Oreochromis niloticus: one gene and its partners. The protein of the gene in region 2 interacts with the protein of the main gene of each other region in a pairwise test. Links are inferred from orthologs where the notes say so. Each region holds a gene or a part of one and is shown on either strand. Other genes may lie near its edges. The genes, in order: ncoa5, khdrbs2, ewsr1b and heterogeneous nuclear ribonucleoprotein R.

Region 1 (7,687 bases), on a different chromosome or scaffold from region 2:
TGATGTTCAGGATTCAGAGTGAGATATATTCTAGTTATAGTTGACGACTGAAATATTTTAGAAGGTTCGTGGTGCAAATTTAAAGTCACACCATCCGAGAAAAATAAGCCCCATTGGGTCTCACAACAGTCCTTTGTGAAATAAATGCAGTCCTCTTCTCTTGAAATAACGCCGTCTTGAAGAAAATCAGATTAGCTGAAATGAAATCACGTTCCTGGGGTCACTCTGAAAATGCCAAAATCTAAAACAGCGCAATTTCCTTAAAAGTCCTTAGGAGAAATGTGCGTATTATGTGCCTTAGATTAGGGCTGCACGATTTTGCATAAAATGAGAATCACGATTTTTTTTGCTTAGAATTGAGATCACGATTCTCTCACGATTTTCTTTTCCAATATAAATATTTATTGCACTTATTAACTGCACATCAACTTCGTAACAGTTGAGACTGAACATAAAAATAATAAATAAACATAAAAACAATAAATGTCTCACATTTTGTCGTTGCCGCAAAATGTTGTACTGCTTGTAATTCCGTCTCCACCGTTGCTCGACACTGCGTGTATAGAGCAGGTAGTGCAACATTTGAAAAAATAGTTGCAGGACGGCACTGTGTAGCGTTTGTCTAGGGTGTTGATCATTTTCCTAAATCCCTCGTTTTGCACAGTGTTGATGGGAGCCATATCTTTAGCCAGGTGATAAGTGATAGCCTCCGTAATTTCTTTGTGCCTGCGGGAGTTCGACGGCTATGGGGAAACGCTGTATACGGTTCCCATTATTGATGTTTGGGTGGTTGACCGGGACGGATTTTCTCCTGTCACTTTCTTGGCCTTTACAGCTTCGTCATCTCTCACGTGCTCTCCATTGTTTTTACCCTGCCAACTGGCTTCTGTTTCACGTGGTATAAGGCTCCGCCCTTGTCATTTATTGAGCAGGAAGAGTGAGCGCTTGTTTTCATGCAGATTATGTCCCGGATCAAAATGCGGTACAATCGTCATCTTTTTCCTTTTTTTTAAAAATCATTGTCATTTGGAAATGAGATCGCACATAAGTATGAATTGAGATCGCGATTTTCTAACGATTAATTGTGCAGCCCTACCTTAGATAACGCAATATAAAATTATTTCAGGACAACAGAACCGCAAGAGGTTTTTCGGTCTCAAGATACATACAGCAGAAAGACCAGAGAGAGTTTCATTGCATTTATACTTGAAGGAATTTACATAAACCTTTCAGGAAGCAGCTCCTTACATACCTTAACTTGAACCTGGATAGCCTGGATTCAGCATCCACTGAATTTAGAAACTAGTGTGTCTGGGGAAAAAAAGAAGAAGATACAAACACTACAATAAGCTTATGAAATTAATCAAATGAAATGCTCTAAAATATAGTCTCAAACAGCCTTTCGGAAAGTTATTGAATAAATTGATTCACAATAACAAGTCTCCACACCAGCCACTTTATTAGTTACACCTTGGTTACACCACAGAACTAGGTTAAATCCCTTTTTGCCTCAATTTCCCATGGAAGAAATTCAAGTTGCTGGAAACATTTCTCCTAGATTTTGGTTCACATTGACATGATAACATCACAGTGTTGCTGTACATTTGTCGGCTGCAGATCCACAATGCAAACCTCATCATTCACCACATTCCAAAGGTGCCCTATTGGACTGAGATCTGGTAATTGTGGAGGCCAAGAGCACAGTGTCAACAGCAACATTGTCATGTTCAAGAAACTAGTTTGAGATGTTCTCAGGTAGGTCCGGGTGGCTAAACAATGTTCAAATGATACCAAAGAACATGTGCCAAGAAAATATCCTGCCAAAAATATCACACCAGCAACACCAGCCTGAACCACTGATAAAGGTTAGGCCAGATTCATACTTTCATGTTAGTTACAGCAAATTCAGAACACCAGACTAATCAAACCAGGCAATGTTTTACTCTATTTCTTGACCAATATTAGTGACCCTGTGTAAACTGTAATCTCAGTTTCCCGTTCTTAGCTGATGGGCATGGCACTTGGTGTAGTCTTCTGTTGCTGTAGCCCATCTGCACCAAGGTTTGAGATTTCGTGCGATCAAAGATGCCCTTTTGTTTACGTTGGTTGTAACAAATAGTTACTTGACTTAATATTGCCTTCGGTTCAAACCGGTTTGGCCACTGTCCTATGATTACCAACAAGTCATTTTAAGTATTAAAAATAAGCTGCTTCTAGGAACAAAGACATATTTTTTTAAGAAACCTCAAAAAAGTCAATTAGCTGTAAGTATTTCACGTGCCTTGATTTAACTGGAGAAAATAAATGAACAAAATTTGAAGCATGTTTGTAAATGAGACATTATAATCTCAATTGGATCGTCTGTATAAATGAAGGTTAAACAAAATAACTGAATAACCAGCAAAGCAAAGTAGCACTGCGAAACTTCAAATGCCAGTCAAGTGTATCACCTCTCACCAAACGCCTTTTTTAGCAACACAAATCCGACCGCGGCTCGTAATGTTGCTTTCGATTCGGACTCTTCGTCAAAGCTTTCCGGCCGCCTCATAAATAACGATTTACACGCTACAGCACCAGCTATGTAATCCAAAAATAGACTCGTTACACTGCTCATAAAACTAAGTCGGTTAACATTAAAAGCAATACTCTCATACACCGCCATTCCGAGAGACGTTTTAATAGCGTGGTTACGGAGTAGCTACATAGAGCTAGCTTAATGTCGGCGGTTAGCTTCTTAACGCTACCTTAACGAGGGACGTTAAAACCAAACAGATAGGTTCACAGTTACGCCTGCAAATGCTTTACGATCCACGGTTCGCTGCAAGCAATGCTATAGCAAGAACGACAGGGCGACTATGTGCTTACCTTCAAAGTCTATTTCGTGTTAATTTTCAGCCACCCACGGACAACCACTATCCGCTCACAATGCTGCGCTTCTTCTTCACTTTAGTTACAGCAACTGGCCCTGATATCTTCTTCTACCCCTTGTGTGGATGTAACTACCATTTCATTTAGCCTATATATCGCCACCTATTGGCTAAACATAAAATACGTGCAGTATGCCCTTCGAATCAATAAAACGAATTTTAGACCTTTAGAGCCTGAACCATTAAAAATAATTACCAGAAAAATATACGGTTTTTTTAAACGGAGTATTTTTTAACCCTCTAACAAATTATATAAAGGAAATTAAATAATAATTTGCATATATGCGTTGTAATTTGTATTGTATTTTCTAAACCAGTCTCTCTTCTTTTGCAATGTTTTGCTTAATTAATAAAAATAATCAGTTCACGCTATTTTGACTCAGTATAGCTTAGCTGCTTCAAATGACTGGAAGGTAGCAAGGTTGCCAGGTTGAGATGTTGTCCCCTCGGTTTGTACGTAAAAATAAACAAAGCATTACAATCCCTGAATTTCGGCATTTTATAATATGTAATGTACTTCATGTTAATTTCCAAAATGTATGAGGATATGCTAATATTATAATTATTGTCTAAATCTACACATTCGTGCTCACGGCAGCGTGAACGTTGTTGTTTTACCGGCTCGGGCAGACGGTTTCCGGGACTGGGCGGTCGTTGTGTTGGGAGGAGTCAGTCCCACATACCTGGCAACATCCACCGTCGCTTTGTTAACGCTTCATTGAGCCAAGATGGCAGATTTCGAAGAGCTCAGCGATGAAGAGAAGGTATTGCTATATTAATAATCCTCACAATAACAACGGTTTAGCTCTAACCTTTGTCGTGAACAATTGCAGACCTCGGAGGGATCTTTAAAGTCGCGTATGAATTTACCAGTAGGGCTATGGTAGGTGTTTGTTGGGTGCTAGCTAAACCTAGGCAGGGCTGTATTTGACAGCTCGGAGCTGAAGCTGTTATGTTCTTATACATAGAGTAACTTAACTAAATTACTCGTTTTAAATAGCAGCCATATTCAGCGTACGGCTAACGTCGATTTCTGATTTTGCTCTTAACTTTGCAGTGGTTGGCAACTGTTAAATCGAAGGAAGTCCAGCTACTTCCTGCATTTACACCAAGGATAATGACAGAGCATCGATAGCAAAACACCACCCACACCCTGTTCACTTTCACGTTTAGCTTCCTCAACCGGTTTTGATAACGTCGGACGTTAAAGCTTGACCCACACAAATGAGTTTGTGGGTATTTTATGCACTGAAGACCCGATACTTATTTTTGGTTTAGAAACGCATAAGGAGGGTAGGTCTTCTGTCTCCCTGCAGTGTTACTGAGCCTTGCAGTGACTGGTGTTGCTGTCTGTATCATGCTGCAACATGTTGTAAAATAGCGCATTGCATTCCTGAAGCTGATATCTGGCCAGGAGCTTAACTATTTAAGTAGTTTCAGTGAATCTTTCGAAATAAGATTAATAGGTTGGTGTGATATCTACACTAAAATAATACATTTTAACTTTTCTGAAGAGTCTGCGTAAATAGTGTGTTCATTTGCGTTTGAAATACACGATGGAGAAGCTGAGTCTGAGCCTGAGAGTGTGCTGTATGCTCTGAATGCCACAATGCCTGCACCACTCTTAAACTGGGTTATTCATTGTAATGTCCTTCTGCCCTTTCAGCAGGACAGCCCAATTGTAGGTCAGCGCCAGCTGCAGCCTGAAGGCTTTAATAATCCTGTCTGCCTGACAGATAGCATCACTGGCAAAATCATACTACAATGTGATAGTGACGTCATGGGTTTAGCAAAGGGATACAGTGAAGGTGGCAAATTCGTGATTTTAAAAAAGGGAACTTGTAACCTCTATAGAGAACAACTTAACTTCAGATTTTACAATGAGCTGCCTGGTATAAATGTACAACTTGCGGTCCTCATTGAGTATTACTTTATGAGAGCATAGTACCTGCCTCAGTCACTTCTTTCTAGGGCTTTGACACCACATGCTTGCACATGCATACTGGGTGGCTGCTAAGAAAAGCCCTTGGATGACATGTACTGCCATCTAAGGAGCGGCTGAAATAGAGCTAACCAGCCTCTGGCCAAGAAAGTTACAGTACAGTACAGTACAGTACCCAGTACTCTCTGCTTCACTCTAGTGGTTATTTGCAGGTTTTAATCTGTTCATATAAATTGCCTACTATATCTGTATCTTTATAAAAATGGATACTGTAGCAAGACTAAATAACACCAAAGTTTCTTAGAGATGAAGTGCAGATTCCCATTGATGATGTGGCACTCTTTCTTATTTTTTTCATGACAACATGTCTTATTTATTTCCAGGTCCGTATCGCAGCTAATTTTGTGATGCATGCTCCTCCAGGAGAGTTCAATGAAGTTTTCAACGGTAAACCCCGGTTACACCTTGTGTACTAACTGCAACCCATGTGCAAAGAAAAATGTGTTTATGGTTGTCTTCCACTACTTGTTGTTCTCAGATGTGCGACTCCTGCTCAACAATGATAATCTCCTCAGAGAGGGTGCAGCTCAGTAAGTTTCCTTCTTTAGCTTCTTTCTTTTCCTTTTCTTTTTTTTTTAAAGGGAACCAATTATTACTCTACTCTCCTCCATTATTTGGAACATGGTCAGTGTTACAAATAATGAGATGACATGCTTATGCAGTCCAAAGCTGAATCTCAGGCTTCAGACTGTAGTAACTGCTGAATTTCAGACATTTTTTGCTACTCGTGGTTCTCCATGATGTCATTAAGATCTGCTATTCTTTACATGGTCAAAAAGGGCCAAGTATCAGATCATGTAGCACTACTCTAGAATCTAAGAATAACAACAATGTTATAGATATGAATGCAGCTTATGGTTATATTGTCTTTTGTTATAGTGCCTTTGCCCAGTACAACATGGATCAGTTCACCCGTGCCAAAATTGATGGATATGAAGAGCCGGCAAGTTTTGGCCTTTTTCTTTTTTTTTAAGCATTCAAATAATTTGCTATTATTATTGAATCTACAATTTAATTTATCTTAGGATACTTGAATGAACTCCCATGGTAACAGCAGGTTTGTCTGTCTGGTCTCCTGCAGGTTCTGATAACAGAGCATGGAGACCTGGGTAATGGCCGTTTCTTTGACCCCCACAACAAGATCTCCTTCAAGTTTGACCACCTGAGGAAGGAGGCCAGCGATCCTCAGCCCCATCAGGGCGAGGCAGCCCTCAGCTCATGGAGAGATGCTTGTGACTCTGCTATTAGGGCATACGTCAAGGAGCACTACCCCAGTGGAGTCTCCACCGTAAGATCACTCCCTCTCTCATTGCACTATGGCTGTCATGTTGAGTTTAAGCATAATAAATCACCCACTCCTGGTTATTTGTTTCAGGTTTATGGGAAAACAATTGATGGCCAGAAGACCATTATCGCTTGTATCGAGGGCCATCAATATGAGCCTAAAAACTTCTGGTAAGTTGAGAAAGGATAATGATCTCTTTCTAAATGTCTTTATCAGATTTTCCCAAAGAATTATGTTGATGTAGTGTATCCGTAATTATGCATTTGGGATCGTCTTTCAAGCATAGCCTTCTGCGTTTTCCTTCACCAGGAACGGTCGCTGCCGGTCTGAGTGGAAGTTCAGTGTCTCACAGCCTACAGCACAGGTTGCCGGAGTCTTGAAAATACAGGTATGTTAAGTTTTTATTTGGTGGAATTTAAGAATAGTCTTGATATTAGTTTTGTTTCAATGTTGTATTTCCTCTCCTTACCACAGGTACATTATTATGAGGATGGAAATGTGCAGCTGGTCAGCCATAAAGATGTACAGAAATCACTGACTGTGTCTGTAAGTGTTGTTCTATGTCTGTGGGCTAAAGTTTAAGAACACGTTGATTTTGTTTGGATCTGTTTAACTCATGTATGTTTATTTTTGGCAGAACGAGAGCCAGACTGCAAAGGAGTTAGTAAAAATTATTGAAGATGCAGAAAATGAGTACCAGGTATGTGGGAATTGCCTCAGTTTGAGAGAAAAAAAATTAATAAAGCCACAGAAGAGCTGTGGCAAGTTGTATAAAATGTACTTCCTACTGGCTAAGATCCTCAACAAGCTGTGCATAGAACAATAGGTGATCTTTAAAAGGGGAAGACTGATCGAAACACACATTTTTTTTATTTATTTTTTTATTTCCTAGTTGGTAAGTGAAGCTGCTAATGGCATTATTTTTGTAAGCACTCTTGGCTGCCAAATGACCACCGCAAGATTTTTAGGTATATACACCATAGTGTTATAAAACAAGTGACTAAAGGTGTTGTTTTAAATAGTCGGAAATCAGAATCATTAATTAAATAATTACATCTATTTTCAGGTGTTGAGTGAACATTGTAAAATAAAATAAAAATAAAACGCATGTTTATTATTAACTGGAACTGACAGCTATTTCAAAGGACTGTATATGCATAACATCACTGTTTAGGCAACTGTTTTCCATCTTTTAAAAAAAGCTTCAAAAGGCACCAGCAGCGCAAACAAACTGTAATTAGTGGAGGTGACGTCTAGCAGACAGCAACGGGCTATAGCTGTCTCTGTCAGCACACCTGTTAGTCAAAGCATTCAAGCTCTGTAACTTTAAACGTTAACAGTGTTTAATTTATTGACTGAGATATAGAAAGAAGTTCACCCACAACACAGTTGGTATGACATGCGAGAGTCTCTGTAGAGACCAGAACCTTTTCTAACTATAAACGTGCTTTTCAATTACATATGTATATCACA
Region 2 (7,600 bases):
AAAGAAGTGACTCTTATCTGTCAGTCTGAGGAATCATTAGCCTCATGCAGCATGTCCAAGAAAAAAAAATCTGCATTTGAGATTGTGGAAGAAAGTTGTAGCAGTTTCAAAATACTCTGCATACAGTTTTGATTGTATAATATACCAATCTATTCATATATTCTGTCTAACAACCCTTGCTGCTTCATAAGAGGAAGCTTAGTTTCAGCTCGACAAGAGAATTATCCCCACCCACCCGTAGTTTACAGCTGCGGACTGGAGCTTTGTTCCAAAGAGTTTTAAATCAGCTCAAAGAAAGACAAACGGTTTTAGAAGCAACATAACTTAAACACAAACAGTAAATAATTCATTTCATAAATATGGAGATGCTAACTGTGACCACGGTTAATCCATGTTATGCTATTGATTGTGCATGATGTTAATAACACGGGATTACATCCTTTGATATTCAGTGATAAATAGCTGCGAATCTGTAAATCTGTAAACGCAGTTTATCTTGCTGTCCACCGATACGCAGGGTTTTTGCATTATCCATGAGCATAGACTGACAACACAAGATAACAAGTCTGTGCTGAACATTTTTTCACATGCTGCCCACGGCTGATTGTTTTGGACATTGCAAGACTGACTGAACTGACAGTTTATTATACTGATTGGCCACTTTTGTGTTTGATGAATACAGAGAGGTTTCTGTTTACTGACTTTGCCAACAGCATTCTTCTCAGACAAATGCATTCCAATGTATTACTTTTTCTACAGTATTGTACTGTAATATTGAAGACTGTACTGTATTGTTAATTATGGGGCATTGTAGTGTGTGTATTTGTTGTGAACTGTTAAAACTGCTCAGAGAAAAAAGTTAGTAAAGAAAATACATAGGTATCCTCATGTAACATGCTAATTGCAGTTCATAGTGGTAGATGGCATTCTTTGTTTGCATCCTGGCTGCGTCAGCTAGGCTTGAGTACATATGGCAAAGTGTACTGTGTGACAGATGATCCCATCTGCATCCCAGTTAGCGACAAGAATGGGAGTGTCAGGTGTCTCATCAACACATTTCAACAGGAAAGCTCAAGGGGCCGAACAGCAGAGTGCACACACACCCCATCCAGCAGCTAATTAACACAAAGTGTGACTTTACATTTTTAAACAAACATGTCAGAACCCAAAATTAGCATACATGCATGATCTAATAAATTAGTTAAATCAACTGCCTTCAGAATCACTAGTGATAACATGTTTAGCACACAGGAAAAACAGTAGAGAGCGTTTCACTGAGTGTTTTACAGTCATGTAACATATGATGGCATTTTATGTTTAATTTTGTCATTTTATGGCTGATATATTGTTTTGTAGAGGAATACGTTACTAACTGGTTTGCTTGCTTGTCATGTTTGGTTTGTCTTGTCTTTCCTGGTAAGGCCACGCAGGTTCATCCATTCACATTTATGATAATCATTCAGCCATTCACTCCAGTAGCACGTCACTCAAACGTTTATCCGAGCTTTTATAGCACTGCACATCAACCAGACTTGTGCAATTACAGGAAGAGAGACCACGCAGTCTATACGAGAAATGCAAAAGTTGCATCTCTGGGCTGAATGAGCTGAGCTGAGTTTTTGTGTTCGCTTTGAGGTGACACACTTCCTATCAGAAGTGACACATTCTCAGCATGTGAATGAGATGAAGGCTACAAAGTACTTTAAATGCTGCAGGCTGATTGCGGCACTCTGTTGACATACAGTAACATTATTCTGGAGGAAAGGCTTTACAGCATGTTTCACTGACATTTTCTGTTCTCCATTACCTTGATGGCATTTATCCTGTAAGAGGAGGTGTGCATCTATCAATTTTCGTTCAGTCAGAAATCTATGACTCATGATGCAATAATTACAAACACTTTGATTTTAGCCTCCAAGGTTTAGCTCACGTGGAATAATTAAAATATTAGAGAGGTGATATTTGGCTTGATAAATGACCACACAATTCACATATTTTACAGAAAAAATATTGGCTGGCAGCACACAGTATTATAACAGGATTAAGAGCACGTTTACCTTAATACAGTACTATGATTGTTGGACTGACGAATGTGGCACCTTTTTTATTATTTTTGCCCTGAAGTCAATGAGAAATCCTCAAGGAAGACATTCGCTTTATGCGAGCCAGCGCATTGATCTTGGCGGACAGTGGGGTTACAATAACCCCCTCTGACTGTACACATACTTTAGTGTCTCTGCTCACAGCATTTGTTCACTTGAAGTTTTGGGGAAAACCCAACAAAAGTTCCTCACTGGAGCCGAAGAGCAGTGTCTACATTAAACGCACAGCACAGAGAATTCAACTGTCGCCACGCAAGCACTAAAAGTCAAGAGTGATGTGTTAAAAACAAGCTCACATCAGCTCACTGTACTGCCCCAAAATTCAATGCAATTGTGCTTTCACGTTAGAATGAACATCGTGACTGTCGCCAAGTCCAACATTCAGAGTGCATTAGACTTGAAAAAAAAATAATATTTTCTATATATACACACATATATACTTGACTTACCTTCTGCAAGCAGGCGCACCGCATGCACAAAGGAGGGGTCCAGGCTGTTTTTCTCGGACACCAGCTCAGGTAGGTACTTATCTGGATGCATCTTTATCACAGCGGACCTCTTCACCGGCAGTGCAGGTGAGACGACAGGAGTGCTGAACGTCACAATGCAACTATAAACCTTGCCGCTCCTGCTTCTTGGTAGCTGTAGTCTACCGGTCTTAATGAGGAACACCAGCAAAACCCCCTCCAAAAATTGGTCTTCCAGTGTCTCCCGAGATGCTTGACTGGGGTAGGGGTGGGGGGGCTGATTTGTGATTCAAAGGTGTGAGCCCATCTCTGCTACCGTTGCCTGCTGCCTCTCCTCGGCACCCCGCCAGACTCAGTGGGTCTGCAGACCGCGCTGCTCCCCGCCCCTCAGCAACATTATTGGCCATATTCTGGGACTGGCGCTGCTGAAACACCAAGAAAGGTCCCCGCTGAGCGCAAAGGAAATGCTCAGTGTTCTTTAAGGGAATTGCTTTAAAAGGATGGGGTTGCATTTGGTCGCTGCTGACAACGGTCTATGAAATAATGTCACCCCGAAACTATAGATTCTCGGTTTTTTTTCAACTGGAAACTTTAATAATATTGGATATAGTACTCAAACAGAACAAATAAAGCATGCTAGTAAAGTTTTGTTGCACTGACAGACTGTACCATATAAATGTCGCTTAATTAAATGGGTTTTTTATGCAGCTCGTGAGTTTCAAAGTAACTACAAAGTCAGTACAAAGTAGCCCGCAGGCATTCACCTGTGAGGGACAACACAACTGTTCATGGTGCTAAACACTGGCTGCTGTCTGATTTGTTTGTACATATCTAATTTGTCTTAGATTTACGGGTAACCTAAATTAGCATACAGCATACTATTCTTCACACTCCACATGACATGATCCACTTCGTTAACTCTGTCCCACACGCTAAAACAGGGGTGTCAAACATAAGGCTTAGGGACCAGAATCAGTCTGGCAAAGACTCTAATCCTGCCCCGCTGGACAGCCTTGGAAACTGTCAACAAAGGCATAGATTTTTAACTTTTAACTGTATTTTCGTGAGTTTTACACTTTTGTCTTTTGATAAAGGTTTAACACATGGCTATTGATGCTATTTTTGTGTTTTGTACTGTCTACCACAAAAATTTCTCAGAGGGGGGGTTGACACACTGTGTATGCATTCCACAGTATCCATTGTGCACAAAAGCATTTCTTTATAATGTAGAAAAACCGAGATGTACTCTTAAAACTGAACATTCTTTTTCTTATATTAAAATGTCTCAAGGTTTAAATGTGCAATTAAACTTCTTTATACTGATATACATGGGAGTTTCATTAGTCTAGGTCACTTATGATCATAGTGGGCTGTATCTGGTCCATGATACAAAATGAGTTTGACATTGCTGCTGTCAAGGAAGTTTGGCTGTATTGTTACAGAGTGAATCATATATTTAAAGGTATGCATGCCAAATAAACCATTAATTAGTTTTTCCATGTTACTTAATGAACTTATGTCAGTTCCTTACATCCTTTGAGCTGCATCCCCTCTTATGGCTGAAGAAGGTCAGCTCTAGTAGAGCTTTAGCTGATTGCATAGTCAGTGGCAGACTTGGCATAAAGAAGCTTTAATATAAATAGATATTTAATAATAAAGTGAATTCTTCACTTACTCATCAAGAGCCAGTGTTAGTGGTGTCAGCACTGTAAGCATGAATGTTTATATCTCATCAAATGGCTCTCTTGTCCCCAAGCCATGATATTGACTTGAATCCAAAAGTCATCTTCGGCACAGCATGCAGGCTGCTTTACTAACTCACAAATTAGATTTGAGCAGATGAGGCTGGTGAACGACCAATTCTGGCTCCACTTGACCTTTAGAGTTGTTTCTCCCCGCACTGATCAGAATCATAAAGGCTCCTCGCGGCTGCAAACAGCAATGCTTTGTGAATATGAGTCAATTATGTTCATAGTATTTATGATTCTTCTCAGTTTTGGTAGAATTTAATATCTTCTGAGAAACCAGGACATTTGTCTTGGAAATCTAGTGCTGTTGTTTTGGGGTGCTCTGTGGTACATTAATGGCTGGAAATATCCATAAAACTGAGCCAAAGGTTTCTTTCATTTAAATTGTGTATTGGCATTGAAGATTACAGAGTATGACTTTTTTATGGCTTTTTAGGGTGATTTAAAAGACTGTTTTAGAGGCCAGAATACCCAAGTGGGTTTGTCTGACAGAACTATTTCATTAATCTGCTTATTTCTGTAATGCCAAACAAGCCTTAAAGGAGTTAGTATTGATTAAAACTTCACACTTACATCCCCTTTCCATTTATTTTTCATTAAGTTCCTTTCTCTATGAAATCAGACACAGCTTTATTTTTCTTCTTGAAAGCCTAAAACAAGCAGCTATGGCCATGTTGGCCAGTACTGTCTTTGCATTTCATGCTCGCTGGACCTTCACTGATTTAATTCTATTCAATAAAATGATTTATGACAGTGTTAATGCAAATCATGCTGCTGCTGCTGTGACTATTAATGGTAATGAGGGTTATGACGGTTAATGTGTTTGAGTCTTGTAAGTCTATAGTATGTTTGTAGATGTAGACTAATGCAGGCATATTGAAATAGACTCACACCACACACACACACACCAACAGATGAAAACAATAACAAAAAACCCATAGACACCTTATTACAAACCATAATTTTTAATAGATTTCTAAAGATTTCTACAGAAAAACTTTTTTCTTTCATCATCTCAACGAGATGAAAAATATTCCAAAATTAAGCCAACACAAGACTCAAACTGGCATTTATTAGTGGAGAGGCAAAAGCAAATCAGTTTCCAAAAACTCAAATCTTAACATTCCAAATTTTACTGCATAAAAAAAAGGAACCTGTTAGATTTCTTCTCACTTCAACTTTTTATTTTTAAGAACTCATCCATATGGATACTGGAAAGATTTAAAGTTAAGGATGCGATTGCGTTGACTGACAGGTCCACAGACACAAGGAGATGTTGTCCATATCCGCTAGGCTTAATTTGAGACACTGGTCCTCTTTACCATATTTGTAAATGGTAAAAAGACTGACAGGTATATAGCACACCAGCACTCGATGGAATTTTTAAATTTTTTTTTCTAATTCAGTTGAGTACGATTCTAGTATTTTTATTAGTCTGTTACTCACCACTAGTCCAAACGTGGTGTTCTATGACACCGATCAACTACATAAATGGTAGATATAGCTACCATGATGTCATCCATTGGTTTCTGAGGTTTCAAGACTTGAATCCACAGTATAAGATATTTCAGATAGCATGTGACAAAGGGGTGAAGGTCTGTGCAGACCTACCCAAAGAATACCACAAATAATGCTCCTTTTTCAAAAATAGTATACCAAGATTGAAAAAAATAAACATACCCTTTTAGTCCAGGTGACCCAAAAGCATTAATTTAGCCCACTAACTTATCAAAAAAGTATTCACTAAGGTAAGAAAGAAAGCGTTTTTTCCCCCCATAGACTTCTATTGTGGTTTTACAGACATGTGACCACTAACCATGTGATGTTAACATGTCTGCCATTTTTGGCTTTGTGACAATAGAATATACAGTAACGATGTAGGATCAAGTGAATAAGGCCCTGGTCACACAAGCAGAGAGTGATTAGTAACCATCTGGCAACCACCTGTTGCTAGGGAAAAAATGTGTATTCACCAACTGGTTAGCAAATAACTCCTTCCAATTGCTTTGGTTGCTAGCATATTGCTGTGGTCCTAGTTTGAATGAAAGAGATGGTTTTCTCCATGAACACTTCCCAGCTGCTCTCCAAGCTGCAGTGAAACAGTAAAAAGTGTGAAGCACATCAGAAATGTAGATCATTTGCTACAAAGTAAAAGTTGTACCTTTCTCTACCAACCAGTGGTGGTATCATGCCCAATATGGCAGACAACTATTGAGCAATGTGCACATGACTTTACATGAGAAACCTCAACATGACCCAAAGTCTTTTTTGCAAACAACAGCTATCGCCATCTGGTGACCTATAGTTAGAATGCAGGTTCAAGACACTTCTGCAGTGGGTTCATATTTCTGACCCATAAATCATGTCCATGTTTTATACTGTTTATTATTCCACGGTGGCAACATCCATCTTTTATTTATAGTCCATCAACAGAACTACTAGGGTCAGAACTTAAAATTTAGTTTTAAGTTTAGCTTTCTGTGTGTGAGAGTAAAATTTAAACTTCTTTTAATTTCTTTAAGAAAATACTTTTATCAAAGTATAACTGACAGCACAATTATAACAAACGTTTTCTTTTGATCATAACTTTTATGTATATTTCTTTATATGCATTTGATGGACTCTTGCAGCCCTCTAGTGGTCAAAGTGCAACATTATACGTTTTACTGACAGACTGATAACACTATCATTAAAAATGTAAATGTATGGCAACGCTTTAATGTAAGGCAAATAACACCAGAGCACCGCTGTGTAACCTCAAATTAGTTTAGAAGAAGTTGTTTATCTCCTTTTGTTTGCTTTAATCTGTTTTCACATTTTCAGGGAGCTATATTTTCCTTTTATAAAAGTTTGTATTTTAAAGTTTGTTGATGATTCTCTGTAAAAATTAGTAATATAAGAGTAACTTTATTCTAATTTTTCTGCTTTCTTTTCAGCAGTTGTTTCGTTTGCAGATCCTTTTTTGGGTACCCTACATGCACCCTACATAATATATTAAGAATTCAATAGCCTATGATATAACCTGCAGCTGGTGAAAACTAGCCCATGTGAACATGTCCACCTGTTATGTAGTCCAACTGCTTGACCATTTGTTAAACTCTGTCCTCTTTTTGCCCTGTTTTAGCTCCGCCTTTATCGAGCCAAGCACACGACTCCAAAAATTCAGACGTTGTTTTCACAATAAAACTACATTACAACACCCAAGTACTTCAGTGAAAAGGGGCATTATTACATTCAGACTGCACATAAATGCAGCATAGCCGTCCGTATATGGCGTTATTTT
Region 3 (6,866 bases), on a different chromosome or scaffold from region 2:
ACCCAAATACTGCACTCTAGTAAAACACAAACGGGCATGTGAAATGGAACTTAATGTGCTACATGAGCCCAGCGTCCATTTATACATTTCTTAAAATACCTGTCGTGATATGACCTTACAGGACTAGACTCCAGCATCTAACTGTATTATTCCAGTTAGTCACCCTATAGAGAATAATTCAGCATGCTGAGAAACTGAACTGGTGGGAAACTAAAGAAAGTAGGGTTAGAATTCTGTATGTATTTATGTAGATATTCTTACAGATTGTACCATGTTCCCTGACAAACGTTGAAATCTGAAACTACGTTTTTCTATCCTATACTGTTGATACTGCCCAGTAATCAAATCATGGTCTAGGATATAAGCTGTCCAACCTAAATTTTATGCACAGGTCTGTGATCAAAATCTGCACTTTTTTTTTTCCTTCTTCTTACCTTTGGCCAAGAGAGAGGCAGGGTTGAGACAAAACTCATTCTTATACAACATATGCCACTGCATGTATTATACTAGATACATGCAATTCATTAGCGCTGATTGCTGATGAATCAGTATCAAATACTAATAAATTCCCCTTACAAGACTGCCGTTATGTTTTACTGTATTATTCTGATGTTACAGCAGGGTTTGTCTCAGCTCTGCCTCAAATGGCAACGGCACCTGCAGAGACTGAATAAATGTGAGATTAAGTGCTTAAGAAAGACACTTACCCCATGCCGCGCCCCATGCCTCCACGCCCACGATGCATCATTCCACCTCGGTCAAAGTCCCTTCCAGGGCCCCTGCTCTCCCCTACTCCAGGGTACCGCGTAGGCTCAGAGCCTGGATAACCAGAACCTCCACCCTGCCCATCCTGCCTGTAACTGTCTACAAGAGGAACAACAACATCAAAACATGCAGTCGTCACAGAATGATCACAGTGGAATTGAACACATGTGTTTAGTTGAGAGAACAGCTGTTTAGGCAGGAGGAAAGCAAAGCTTACTGTAATGGCTGGACTGGTTGTAACTGGGTGGTCCACCTTGCTGGTTGTACTGGTTGGCTGGAGGCTGCCCGTATGATCCACCGGCCTGAGGAGGGTAAGCAGGAGGAGCTTGTTGCTGTGGCTGGGTCTGCTGTTGGTATCCCTGCTGCTGGTTGTAGCCTGCCTGCTGGCCTTGGTAACCAGGTTGTTGACCATATGCTGCTGGCTGGGAGTAGCTATTCTGGCTGTAAGTAGCTGGCTGGCTGTTAGCATTGTAACTGATGGAGACAAAGCAAAGACAGAATGCAAGTAATCCGATAAGCATGTTCTTCTGGAATTCCCATGTTTTGTTGTTGTCAGATGAGATGTCCATACCTCTGAGGGGCAGTGGGAGCAGCCTGTTGGCCATAACCAGGGTAGGCAGACTGAGCCGTGTATCCTGGCTGAGAGCCATAAGACTGGGAGGCAGCTGGAGCAGCAGCAGCAGGAGTACTGTCATAACCACTGGCTCCGTAACCCTGGGTTGACTGTGAATAGCTGTGAGTAGCAGACTGGGCAGCAGGGTAGCCAGCTGTACAAAAGACATCACATATCACAAAGGGAAAAAAAGAAATTTGATATTCATTCCTGTTAATTTTTCAGGAATCAATACAAGCTTTGCCACATTGTAATTTGACTGTTTAACAACAGAATAATTAAAAAAAAACAAAAGCTGACCTGATGCTGGTTGGCCATATGATCCAGATCCATACTGTTGCTGCTGCTGGGGGTAGCCTCCAGCTGCAGGTGTTGTCTGACTGTAACTGCTATCAGCAGCTGCTGCAGCAGGTTGGGTATATGAGCCATAATTCTGCTGGCCATAGCTTTGCTGAAAGAGCAAATACAGTAGCCATTAGGCAAAATAAACCTCAACTAAGCATTATTTAAAAGCTCCATTTGCTTAAAGCACAAACAACCTATGACTGCCAGCAGTAAACAAATAACCATCCCAGGTTTTCCCCACAATCATTAAATGTTTTAAGCACAAGGCATGCTTTGATCAAATCTGCACAATTAAATCAATAATGGTACCTGAGCAGATTGTCCATAATTCTGTGAGGGCTGGGCAGCATAGGAAGCATACCTGTAAACATATGCATCAAAATTTTAGGATCACCAGAAATCTGGGTACTGCCTGAAAAAACATATCATGCTGTGCACTGTTTAAAAATGGTCTTTATCTAAAAGATGTTTACTACGACCTAAAGAAGGTCACAAAAACACCAAAAGTAATCCATGTTTGGATATCGATTTTTAAAAAAAATTATACAGGTTTACATTTGCATCCACCCTAATCTCCGCTTTGTTTCCTTTCTTCGAAAGAATTAGGTCATATTGGATGGTTAAAAATCTCTAAGCCATTTTAATAAAGTTAACTGAAAAATCTTACCCCTGTTGAGCCCCGGTCTGGTTGTAGGAGCTGTAATCTGAAAATGGGGAAAAAGGTTAGTTTAAAAAAATAAAACAAAAAACAATAGAGTCTCAGATCTCAGCGCGCGAGCCGCACGTTACAGGCCCGTTCTTATGTCGCCATTCAAAACCGAGACAACTGAGCCATTCACTAAACCTAAACACTACTTCACAGCTAACGAAACCAGTCAGACATCGACGCACCCGTTAAACAGGATTCATTTTAAATCGGTAATATGCGGAAAAACCCAGTGTGCGCAAATGAAAAAACATATCCGGAGTAAATACCACAAAGACTCGACGTGCTAACTTGTCTAGGCCTCGGACGCGGAGGGAACTGGGTTCATGTTATTCAATAAAGAAAAGTGGCTAAAAAAGACGAACTATGCAAACATACTCACAATTAGGATACATTCATGCAAATTAATGTTTCAATAAATAACAAAATTTACTTTAAAAGTCAGTAATTGTCGCATTTTTTTTTACTCACCCGAAGCAGACGCCATTTTAGTGTGCCTATAAGAGACGAATGGACGAAGAATGCTACCGCAGAAGTGCAACTCTCTTCGCGGCAACCGCGAAATCTCGCGACATAACGCGATACTGTTTGGGGGCTGTTGTAGCGAAAGCATTACAGGTTTACAAATCAGATTAGATCAGGGGTGTCCAAAGTCCGAGTTGGCCCGCGGTCCATTTTTAATTGGCCCTCAAGTAATTTTATAAATAGAATAGAAAATGGCCCGCACTTCAACTTTTGCTTGAGTGTATTGCACTTCTTAGTTTTAACACCAGGGGGAGCTACTGTTGATCAAGGCAGTTGGTCTACCAAAAAGGACAATCACAGAAGAAATTTACCCCAAGTTACCAAACATGGCAGAAGCAAAAGGTAGAAAGCAGTGATGGCCAAATGAAGCTTTCTGAAGCACTGAAGCTTGTATTGAAAAACGGTTCATTACTCGAAGCTTTTCAACACAGTCCTCTCTGGTGACATCTGGTGGCCAAAAATATGAAGAGCAGCTTGAATCCACAAAATAAAACCAACTGCTTCATAATGATAGCCCACTATACAGAGTGGAACTCTGTCTCATATTGGGCTGCTGTTGTGTTGCTTTGAACGTGTATTTTTTGGTGTTAAAAAATGTAGTTTATTTGTTTAATAAATAATTTTGACAAGTAAACTTTCCTTGTGTGAACATGCACCATGGTTTGGTCTTTCTTTGCTTGTGACTTCTTGATGTTGGTAAATACAATAATTGAAAAATACCACGTTACATATAACATACATATAATAATGCACATTATGCAGTATGCTTCTGCTGTGAGGTCCTGCCTCCATGTACTTATGCATTTAATCTCTAGACGGGTATATTTATAAATAATATTATATTAGGGAAATTTTCCTATACATATTTTTGACCTGGGGGTAGAATTGATTGTGAAATGGAAAGGGAAAATGCTTATGAACTTGCAAATTAATAACATGATGCATTTAAGGAAACCCTTTTTCATTTTTATTTAAGAAGAAAATTAGTTCCACTGTGCGATGGACGAATCTGTTCCTTTTCGTGGAGATAATTTCTCCTGCCTTAAGGAAAATCCCTTCACATGGCACAGAAGAGAAGAGGCTAGAGTGCAGAAAAACTGGTAGAGATGCAGTTATGGCTCCACAAACTATCGGCTAAAGAGAATAAATAAATTAAATTGCTGCACATTTTGTAGACTAACATTGTAAGATTATTTTTTTAAATAAAATATATCTTTTTATAACATTAAATGTTACGAGTCAAATGGAAGTTATTTACTGATATTTATATTATGAAAAGCAGATTTTTTACATTTTAAGTTTTTCCCGTTTTCAGATAAAATAAAGACGCACAAAACAAAAGCAAACAGCCAGAACACAAAGCTGGAAAACCCACCCGATTGACCAGAATCAACTCAAAATACTTCCACACAACAGAACCAAATCTCTCAGTAGAATGATCAGTGGTTCGCTATCTGTCACCATCAACACACTCCACAAATCCCGCAAATGATTCACTTCGTTCCATTTGAATCAGATACCGAAGCAGTTGCGTGCGTAATAAAGCTTCGGACGTCACTGGTCACGTGACTTTTGCTAAACGAAGCAAGCCTCGACACAGTGCTTCTGAACCAGTGTGTTGTTTTTTTCGACACACGCTCCGGAGCGTCAGCTTCAAGCGGGCCATCACTAGTAGAAAGTGTGTAATGAACCGCTGATCTGTACCATAAGTCATCCTTGCGGGGGTTGTCGGAACTGTATGCGCAGTCGCACTAAGGACAGATGTGCTCAGAGGCATGCCCCGTAACGTGTATGAGCGGTCTGTCGTGCGGCAGGAATAAGTTGTACAAAGTCCATCTTAGACATGTGTGTCATGCAAGCTAGCAGCATCCCATGAGAAACGGGCCGAAGTGTTTAAGTGTTCACCGGAGTTTGCACCCTTGGCAAGCGGACTGAGGTATGTGATGAGAGGTGATCTGTTGTTATATTTTATTTAACCGAACTGTGTAACCCCTTGATGCTGTTTGAAGTAACCCCTTTTTGTTTTATTTAATCTGTGACTGTATATCTCAGAATTACTTGTTTGAACTTACCTGAATTAACTTGAGCTCATTGTTGTTATTGCTCATTGTTATACTTCAAAAGGACTGTACGGGTATCAATTTTTTCTTGTTTTATAGTTTTCACGGTGCTCAATGTCCAGAGAATGAGGCGTGTGTGGTGAGGAAATAAATGGCTGCACCCGTTAGAGACTCTTTTGTCATTCTTGATGCCAAGGGCTGCTACAAAGTGAGTGCAGAAAATTTCAGACACGGTGGGAGAGTGAATATTTTTTCAAAGAATTAAAGGGGAAGTGTGTCTGTTTGATCTGCACTGAAACTGTGGCAGTTATGAAAGAGTATAATGTACGACGTCATTATGAAACCAAACATCAGGCCTATGCATCCTACACTGGTGCTGAGCGAGAGCAGAAATTAAAGCAAAGGGTAGCTATCCTGCGGGGTCAGCAACAGTATTTTTTTCGTGCTCAAATTGTCCAGGAAAAGGCTCCAATAGCCAGTTATGAGGTCGCCCAACTCATCGCAAGACATGGCAAGCCTTTTTCAGATGGAGACCTCATAAAACGCTGCCTCGTTAAAGTCACCGAAATAATGTGCCCGGAAAAAGTGCAGGACTTCAACAACGTCAGCATGTCCAGAAATACAGTTGTGCCACGCACTGAAGACTGTCAGCCAACATTAAACTGCAACTGTCTGATAAAGCTGTGCTTTTGATTTTTACTCCATCGCATGCGATGAGAGCACCGATGCCACAGACACCGCACAGCTGCTAATTTATTTATTTTTTTGCGGGGAGTGGACGAGAGCACGAGCACTTTAGGTGAGTAAAAACTACATTCCACAGTACCCGCGTGTTAATATGCATGCATGTGCAGGTACACATGCTTCAAATATCAATAATGCGTATCAATTCTGTCACTACCCTGCTTTTGCGCACCACTTTCTTATATGCGTTTTTCTTGTTAACACACAGAGTACACACCGCTGTGCACAGCGCACGCACACGCAAAGTCAGCTGATCTCATCTGATGCAGATCTGCTCCTTGATCAAGTGACATTTGTCCGGATTTCTGGCACGAGTGGCGTACGATGAGCACCGCGGCTGGATGGCCCGATTTACATACCCAGCGCAGCTGATACTCACCAGAATAATTTACTAAAATTATATGCACTCCTGTTATTAAGTCCAGTTCAATCTGTTAATGTTGATAACCGTTTCAAACGAACGTTAATAGGTGTGTTGCTAAGCCTAAGAACTTAAATAATAAGCTTGAAATGTACCCGTCCCATTTTCCCCTTTATTGTTTTTCCTCTGTACTGTAAATCTTCTGTCCAAGAAGAAATCTGCTGCTGTTCTGAGAATGAGCTACCAAAGCTTTTTCTGAATAAATCAATAAAGATCCATTTATGGAAAGCTGTGATGAAGGCAGTTTTGTCTTTAATTATATTCAACAATATAACACATTTGACCACTTTTAAATGATTTTTCTAACATTAATACACTACAGTTAAGGTTATATACCTAATTTCTAGTAAGTGGCCCAGCCCCTCCTATATTTTTATGTATGTGGCCCTCAGGGATAAAAGTTTGGACACCCCTGGTCTAAAGTCTTTCATCTTTAATAAAATGATCAGCGTTCTTCTCTACCAGGTGTAACAACTGAGTTTAACATCCAGGCATCCATGAAAACGGAATTTATGACATTTAACGGAGCTAGAAGTTAGCAGGAAGTTAGCTCGCTAGCTTCTATCTAAATACAACATAGCATGTCCTGACTGCGGGGTTTTGGAAACAAATTAAAACGTACAGCTCTGTTATCACTTCCAACATAAATGAAGACAGAAAACTAAACAGCAGTGACGTTTGTAGGGT
Region 4 (7,903 bases), on a different chromosome or scaffold from region 2:
AAGAAACACACAGAATCATCACACAATCAAAAAGGTTTGGCCAAAGCATGAGAAACTCACCTTTACGGCAGCATCCCTCTCTTCAAAATGGACAAAAGCGTAGTCTTTCAATTTCTTCACTCGTTCCAGCTTTCCAAACTGGGAAAAGGTCTTTTCAAGAAGCTCTTCAGTCACTGCTGTTGCCAGCTTCCTCACAAAGAGCACCTTTACCTATAATAATAACAGAGGAAACAGTATGTTTGTCACACTGGAATGCAGAGCGTGCCTGATGTGTATTAAACAATGAGACACTAAAATCGCTAACCTTAGCCATGACCTCTGGGTCTGGTTCAGCTACAGGGTCAGCCCACTCAACAGTGACCGGGTTCCCCCACACTTTGACCTTGCCGCTCATCAGGCGACGGCGAGCTTGTGCCGCGGACTTGTGGTCCTCATACTCGAGGAAACAGAAACCACGGTTCTTTTTCTTGTCATCCGGCTGATGATACAATATCACCTCTTGGAGACCCTCTGTGAGGCAAACAATAACATCTGACTATCACAACCGTTGTTGTGTGCGTTTATCAATCATTTTTAAGCACTGATAATTTGTTTAAATGAGTCTCTAAGAAACAAAAACCTGCATGTTAGAAACAAACCTGTCACTTTGCCAAAGTCTTCCAATATACTTTCTCTTGTTTTGTTCTTTGGAATCGATCCGACAAACAGCCGATTGTTTGCAACAGATATACAAACTCCCAAGTACTTTCCAGGGCGGATTTCATGGTTATCACACTGTAAAAAACAAAAAAACAAAAAACAGACAAGTTAACAAATGAGTGAAAGGAGCTGAAAACACTGTGAAGCACAAGTTATTTCACTTTCCAATAAGTAAACCTTTAAGTCTATTTCCCCTCAAGCTGTTAAAAATATGGACTGATATTTCCCGCGACATTACTTACAAGCTTCACAGCCTTCTGTGCATCATCCTTATTGCAGTATGTGATGAAGGCATAACCTCTGTTCTGACCAGATAAAGGGTCCATCATTAACCTGAGGTCCCAGATGGGACCAGCAGACTCAAAGAGTGGCACCAGCTCATCTTCATACAAATCCCTGGGGATTTTTCCAACAAAAACCTGAGGAGTGAACAGAGGGGAAAGAAATGTGAGCGAGCGTAATGATTTGCAAAACATTACGCTTTTAGTCTTTATGAATGACACTGTAGCTCATATTTTCTTAGTCTTACTCAAATAACAAAACCCAGCCTTGGAAATCATGACAGACAATTTTATCCTATATTTTATCTTTTAATTGCTTCTCTACCTCAGTTCCACTGCCTGGATGAGTGCCTTTGAACACATCCTCAGGTGGAGGACCCCCATATTTTCTCTGGCCTGTAGTGACATCCAGGGTGTATCCTGTGCGCTCCAACAGGGCCTGAAACACACACACACACACACACACACACACACACACAAAACAAACATTAACTGAGCTGTGGCTGCAGAGGCGTGTTTATATGACATTCAATCTGACCCGCTACACAAAAAAACTTAGCCAAATGACTTTGTTTACCTTTATTTTTGCCTCATCTGGGCCCTTGGTGGACTCTTGTACCTTACTTCCTTGTTTTTCTCTCTGTCTGTAGGTCTTCATAACTCCACAAAGGAAAGCACTTTTATTCTGCAATAAAAAACAAAAACAAACGAGATAATTAATTTGCAACAATTTGTGTCAAGTTAAAACTCCTGTCAAGGGCAAAGAGACATGGGTTCTATTCATTTTCGCCTATGTGGATACCTGTACATGGGACAGGTCGCTCTCTTTGAACTGCTGCAGCACAGTAAGCGCTCCCTCCTCGTTGAACTCCCGCAGTGCATCGATAGCCCTTTCGTCCAGGTCAACGTATGCCACTAGGCCTACGGGTACAATGGATGTTCAGCATGAGGCTTAGCTACAGAAAAGCAGGTATACATTATTCTTTTAGTGGAAATAAACATACAGCCGCTCACCTGTCTGGAAGATATTATCTAGACTTTCAGCTACTTTCTGGGGCAGCCCAGCATCAAGGAGGGTCTGGTAGTTCTCTGTGTGTGTTGTGGTCACATCCATGGGCTCTTCCTCCTCCTTTGCCGGGGCAGAACTACCGTTTACCTCAGCAGCAGCCATTCTCCTTCAGCAGCAAAGCAAAGAAATACATTTTACTTAATTTTAATGTTTTAATGGTTCTTCTTAACAGGTTATTTTACTTAAAATCAGACCAATAAATAGAAAGATCCACAATCCTAAACTACACTTCAATCTTTATGTATGTCATCAACTCAAGTGCAGTAAATCAAGTTGATTTACAAGCTTTATGGTTTCCATTTAATTTTTTAAAAATAGGACTCACTGGAACTGTAGTTCTTATGAATGTAATTTACGAACTATAATCGGCGTCGACACGTTATAATGTACTGCACAACAACAACCTGGTCACTTCAAGAAAACACGTACAGCCTCAGTCCCGCCCCCCTTCACATGCAGCTTGCAAGCCAGCGAGATGAATGCTTTTCTTTTTATGCATTTACGTCCATATGTTTTTGACCCCACAACACCCTCTTCTACAAGCAGACAACGCTGGATAGATTTTACAGCATTTTTGGTCACGCGGGATCCCCGAATACGTTATCTTGCCCTTGCGAAAAAAACAAAACAATGATGATGGTTAGCTTTCTAGCTGGCTAACGAGCTTACATACGAAGGCCTCGCCGTGCAGAAAGACACCTTTCGCAAATCAAGTACACGCGCGCCCCGTACACGGGCAAACACACAGTTAGCGAAACTCACCAGAGCGATTCAGGAAACTAACTCCGACGGGTGCTAAAACGTGAAACGACTAGCCTATCGGACATACAAATAGTGTCTAAATGCGCGGAATATGTTTGAGTCTAACCCACGAGACAAATTTCCAGACAGATACGGTCTCGTCGTCGGCTCGCCCGAACAACGCCACTGCTTCGCAACCATCGCGAGATGTGGACGAAAACTCGCCGAGTGAGGGCGGGTATGTTCGTTTTGACAGGCCAGGCCGGGCGTGCTCGTATCGGACAACCTGACGCTTATACAAAGTTTAAGACGTATGCTTACTGCTTATAAGGTATGAAGTGAGCTGAGCTTAACGCCAACAAAACCAGGCGATAACCGGGCCAAGCTCAAAAGGGCTTTACACCCAAACTGACCGAGTAGCGCTGGGATGAAAAACGAGCGCTTCATCAGCTATCCAACCACGGAGAATGAACTACAACTGGCACCGCTTTAACCCAATAGGAGCCACATTTCTACAAAGAGGATCAGCCTCCTTATTCTAATAAACAATTCAAAGCTCAAAGTAAAAAAAGGTTTGGCAATAAAGTAGAGGCAATGAATTCTGGATACATGTGAAAATTAATCATTTTATTTCATTGTTCTTGAAGTTATAGTGTTAGCATGACCCCTGCTTTACATAAGCAGGAAAAAAATCAATGCCTAATGACCATTAACCTTTTGATAAGTCTGGACTCCTAAGGAGAAATAACAAGGTTCAGTCGTCATGTTTGAGCTTTCTGATTTTGCCCTTGTGGCGATCGATCTCTTTCTGTAGACGCTCAATCTCCTTTTTGTGGTGCTCAATCTCCTCCGTATGATGCTTCCGCAGAGCTTCCATCTGCTCCTTCTCCTTCTGCCTACAAGTGGAAAAAATAAAAATAAAAGTTAATGGGTGAAAGTGTTGTGGGGAAAAAACAAAAATCCAAGGGAGTATTTACCTGAAGTATCGCTCCTCTTCCGCTACTTCTCTCTTTCCAAATGCACCTCCGGCCTCTCTCACAGAGCCTCCTCCACCACCACCTTTCCCAGCTCCCTTGCCCAACTCACCAAGCTAGAAGAAAAAACAAAACACATCACAAAGTGCAAGCACATGTTAGGACCAGCATTTTTGTAAATCAAGACAAGTGCATTTATTTTCATCTGACCCACAAGTATACGCTCATCCATCACAAGTTAAAATCTTGGTCACACAGATCCATTTTAATCCCATTGTCATCCTGATGGGGACTCCCAATTTGTGTTCTAGACCCATATGTGCAAATGGGTCTACAACACAAGTAGATACAGACATATTTTAAAAAACAAAAAGCACAACCTGTGTAGCCTCAGCCTATTTAGATTGGTGTTAAGAATTCCAGATGATAGAAGAACTAGAGTTCTTAAACTGGTTCGGTTTGTAATGTTTTGTGACAGAAGGATAGCAGCAAGAGTGAAAGGGTAGATTTAGAAGACAAGACCTGTTATGATGTATGGTTTGGAGATGGTGGCACTGACAAAATGACAGGAGGCTCAGCTGAAGATGTAAAGATCTTTACTGGGATGACCAGATCGGACAAGTTTAGAAATGAGTACATCAGACATGAGACAGCTCAGGTCGAGCAGTTTGGAGATAAAAGTTTGGGAAGCAAAGCTGAGATGGTTTGTACATGTGTAAAAGGAGGGATAGTGGATATACTGGATAAAGGCTGTTTAAGACGGAGCTGGCAGGCAGGGGGAAAAGAGGAAGATGTCAGAGGAGGGTCATGAATAGTAAAGAAGAAGATGCAGAGAGGAGGATCTTTAGGGATGGGGTGAGATGGAGACAATCGATCTGCTGTGACAACCTCTTAAGGAGGCAGCTGGATGTAGTAGTAGAAGAAGAAAGTGTGCAGCAGCTCATACTGAGTGTTTAGAATGTGGAATAGACTACAGTGATCTTTTTGACCTTTGACCATTTTCACTGGAGTCTGAATAAGGTGTGCCAACCTTCAACTGAAATGACACAGTAAGGTTAGATTTTTCACTTCTTTCACGGACTCCTTTCAGCAACAATGTATGTTTGAAACAATGAATAAAGCTTAATTTAATTAATTTTTCCTTCCAAGATAAAGAGCTTGCCGCATTTCCGCAGTTTTGCACATAAATGCAGGTTATTTCAGGTATTTACACAACTAAAACGGGGATAACAATATTTATCCTGTTCATAAGAACAACATTACAATTAATGTCACAAACTTAGTCTATATAGCCATAAACCAACTGACATGTCGCAAAAAAGTGAGTCAGTAAAGTGTTTAGGGGTAAATAAAACTGCACATACATCATTTTGCGTGTTTTTCATTGCAGCCATGGGGGATCTTCTGCCGCCTCTATTTGCAAACATCACTGTTTGCTTTTTCCACCAATTAAGTCGCATTTTTTTTACCACCTGGCTTCCTCGCCAGCCTTTTACCGATATGGCAGACATTAGCGAGCTAGCTGCTAACGTCCAAAACTGTCACCAAACCCACCAAAGTTTACCTGATCAGATGCCATTCTGATCTGAGAGGCGACGCATCTCCTCAGGTTTGCCCCCAGAAGAAGTCTGGCCATTGCCACTCAAATAACAGCGAAAACAACTGCACCACAGCAGAGAAAAGTTTAGTGCGACTACTTGTCCTTTTAGCTCAAAATGCGGAAATTTGAAGTAAACGCCTTGTATGGGCGTGGAGAATACCGTTTGTGGCACATGCGCGCTTGCTGCTGCCACCACCCGGCGAGGGGGCAGAAGTGCAGCAGTTACGTCCATATGGCTCCATCTTAAATTTCGTATTTCAGCTTGTTTCAGCACTTTCAGGTGATTTTTTTTTAGCTCTACAGTCAAGAAGTCATGTGCATAAGATCTAAGAAACAAATCGCGTGCATACACATTAAATGTAATTTCAAGTGGATCAGTCCAGTTTCTCAAATGCCTCACACCACAACATTTCAGATTTGTCTGGACATAATCCCAGGTGATAGGAATTGCAGAAAATAGAAAAGTTCTAAATTTCAAATCCTTACTGTCATTAATTTTCTAAAAATAAATGAATATAAAAAGAATAAAAAGTGACATTTAAAATTCCAATATGTAGAAATCTAGATGACCTTGAGCCCGATCCTTCATATTTTTAAGGATATATATCTTTTATCTATATTTATCTATTGCTCTCTGGATATGGACTTATGGAGTGTAGCTGAAGTTAACCCAGAATGATGGATGCTTAAATTTCCTAAAATATCTGGATGTTTGCTATCTGACAGTAGATTTGGAGGGCTGTAGAAAACACCATCTTGCAGGTAGGGGACTGATATTCTATTTACAGCTGAGATGACCAAATCCCAACAACTTAATGTGGGACAAACACAGTGGTGCACGTTACCAGTGCTGAGACTTTTTGGTAACTTGTAACGTCTGAATGAAAATAAAAAGTTTTTCCTTTTAGACACACTGAGTAAGAGCCAGGCTTTAGAATAGTGTCCTGTGCAGCAAGTGAAAATGTGGGATGTGATCTGAAGATGTGGGACAGCAGAGGAAGGAGTGCCAACGCTGTGCAGTCCCACTTAAAGAGGGACCGCTGAACGCCTTATTTACAGCTTCTCATAAACAAAGCACATAACACTCAACAATCCAAGTCAACTGGGTTGTTTCGCAGATATTAATGGGATTAATTATCATGGCATCATGCACAAAAATCCAAAGCTAGTATTTTCTGTATATTTATATATTAAATTTTGTGATGGTCTCCTTTCTCATTTCCTTGATATTTATCTATATCAGCCAAAGATTATTTTGAAAACAGAACAAAGTCTTTTAATTCAGTTCAAGTCTTTTTCTGGCAAAGAAGAGAGGATGTGTGCTGGATGCCTCAGCACAACATAACTGCAAAAACAAGCAGATAAGCTGAGATAAGCAGAACCTAATTAAAAGATGAGAGAAAAAAACCTGATAAATTAGACTTTATTTATTGAGGAACGTGATCTGCTAGGGATTTGATAGGGAACTAACTGTCACTTTTTAGGTGAATCTTATGGGCTCACAGTGGGTGTTAGTGAGCATCTTGTCAGGTTTCATCCTCACATTTGAAAGGAGAAAGTTGCCTTTTTCCAAAAAGAATACGACTGAACATACATGGCCAAGCCAGAAAACTCTTGAAAAAATTATTTTTTGGGTGACACTGGAGAGTTAGTTGAAATGAAAAGCATTTTTGGCAGAAAGATGAATTCTGCTTTCCAAGATAAGAACCTTACTCCAACTGTGAAACGTGGTGGTGTATATATACATAACTTGGACCTGTTTTGCTATTACTGACAAACCAGTGACGTCCAAATTATACCAGCAAATTCTAAAGGAAATATTCCAGGCCACAGTTTTAAGAGAAAGTGGGTCATGCAGCAAGACAAAGACTGTCTGCACATGAATTTGCCTACAAGAGAATGATCAGAGAAGAATGAACTCAATGTTCTGATTATTATCCAACAGATACAGTAGGAGGCAGTGGGTACACATCTTAGCAGAAAAGCATATGTAACCCAAGCCAAGATTAATTGCTGTAATAAAAATATACTGGAGATATGCAGTTCATGCACAAAGGGTAGAGGAAAACTGTTTCATTGAACTTGGCAGAAAGATTAAAACAATTTGGGAAGAGATTAGAGGGTAAAAAAGAGATTTAAAATGAAATTCAACAATGCCTAAAGCTATGCATAATTGATTTGTATTCAGAAGGACACAATTATAGTAAAAATGAACAATTATTAATAAGTGTCAGGTTTTTTTTATAACAGTCAAAATGCTAGCAGCTATTCTGGAAAACGAAACATAACAAAAACCCCATAGACTAAATTTGCATACTGAATAGAACAAATGATGTCAAACCTTTTAATAGAAAGAACATGTTGAAGACAAAAGGTTTGGGACCTTTTTAAAAAAAATAAAAAATAAAAAATTGGAGGGTAATGTTGGTTTGTTTTTGTTGCATTTTATGAATTCCTTGCTGAGTTAGCTTTTTTTCCTGGCAAATATTTAGACGCACTTACTGCTGCACAAAACCAAGTAGTGTCAGATTTACTGATT

What was found.
Region 1: the proteins of khdrbs2 (region 2) and ncoa5 interact in a two-hybrid assay, tested with the Homo sapiens proteins (2 studies listed by BioGRID). The two-hybrid records come from large-scale screens. The link is inferred for Oreochromis niloticus from reciprocal best matches to the Homo sapiens genes KHDRBS2 and NCOA5.
Region 3: the proteins of khdrbs2 (region 2) and ewsr1b interact in a two-hybrid assay, tested with the Homo sapiens proteins (2 studies listed by BioGRID and IntAct). The two-hybrid records come from large-scale screens. The link is inferred for Oreochromis niloticus from reciprocal best matches to the Homo sapiens genes KHDRBS2 and EWSR1.
Region 4: the proteins of khdrbs2 (region 2) and heterogeneous nuclear ribonucleoprotein R interact in binary tests that used the Homo sapiens proteins (3 or more experiments, as listed by UniProt). The link is inferred for Oreochromis niloticus from reciprocal best matches to the Homo sapiens genes KHDRBS2 and HNRNPR.

Annotation. Positions count from the first base shown.
Region 1 is NC_031970.2:8,753,714-8,761,400, forward strand, and holds the start of ncoa5 (nuclear receptor coactivator 5), read right to left. Parts: upstream 3,019-7,687; 5' UTR 2,866-3,018; intron 1,312-2,865; 5' UTR 1,253-1,311; intron 1-1,252. Other genes in the region: capza1a (F-actin-capping protein subunit alpha-1), read left to right, coding at 3,656-3,691, 5,253-5,316, 5,408-5,459, 5,809-5,872, 6,011-6,217, 6,305-6,384, 6,524-6,602, 6,689-6,760 and 1 more. UniProt on the Homo sapiens protein: Nuclear receptor coregulator that can have both coactivator and corepressor functions.
Region 2 is NC_031978.2:20,112,382-20,119,981, forward strand, and holds the start of khdrbs2 (KH domain-containing, RNA-binding, signal transduction-associated protein 2), read right to left. Parts: upstream 3,021-7,600; 5' UTR 2,643-3,020; coding exon 2,552-2,642; intron 1-2,551. UniProt on the Homo sapiens protein: RNA-binding protein that plays a role in the regulation of alternative splicing and influences mRNA splice site selection and exon inclusion. Binds both poly(A) and poly(U) homopolymers. Phosphorylation by PTK6 inhibits its RNA-binding ability.
Region 3 is NC_031977.2:18,649,618-18,656,483, reverse strand, and holds the start of ewsr1b (EWS RNA-binding protein 1b), read right to left. Parts: upstream 3,018-6,866; 5' UTR 2,917-3,017; coding exon 2,901-2,916; intron 2,428-2,900; coding exon 2,391-2,427; intron 2,085-2,390; coding exon 2,033-2,084; intron 1,830-2,032; coding exon 1,679-1,829; intron 1,533-1,678; coding exon 1,337-1,532; intron 1,240-1,336; coding exon 983-1,239; intron 865-982; coding exon 708-864; intron 1-707. UniProt on the Homo sapiens protein: Binds to ssRNA containing the consensus sequence 5'-AGGUAA-3'. Might normally function as a transcriptional repressor. EWS-fusion-proteins (EFPS) may play a role in the tumorigenic process.
Region 4 is NC_031985.2:16,818,776-16,826,678, reverse strand, and holds the start of heterogeneous nuclear ribonucleoprotein R, read right to left. Parts: upstream 3,021-7,903; 5' UTR 2,922-3,020; exon of another isoform or gene 2,812-2,921; intron 2,156-2,811; 5' UTR 2,152-2,155; coding exon 1,995-2,151; intron 1,902-1,994; coding exon 1,783-1,901; intron 1,666-1,782; coding exon 1,558-1,665; intron 1,420-1,557; coding exon 1,306-1,419; intron 1,119-1,305; coding exon 942-1,118; intron 775-941; coding exon 639-774; intron 511-638; coding exon 305-510; intron 211-304; coding exon 61-210; intron 1-60. Other genes in the region: atp5if1a (ATPase inhibitor A, mitochondrial), read right to left, coding at 3,545-3,686, 3,768-3,880, 5,329-5,400. UniProt on the Homo sapiens protein: Component of ribonucleosomes, which are complexes of at least 20 other different heterogeneous nuclear ribonucleoproteins (hnRNP). hnRNP play an important role in processing of precursor mRNA in the nucleus.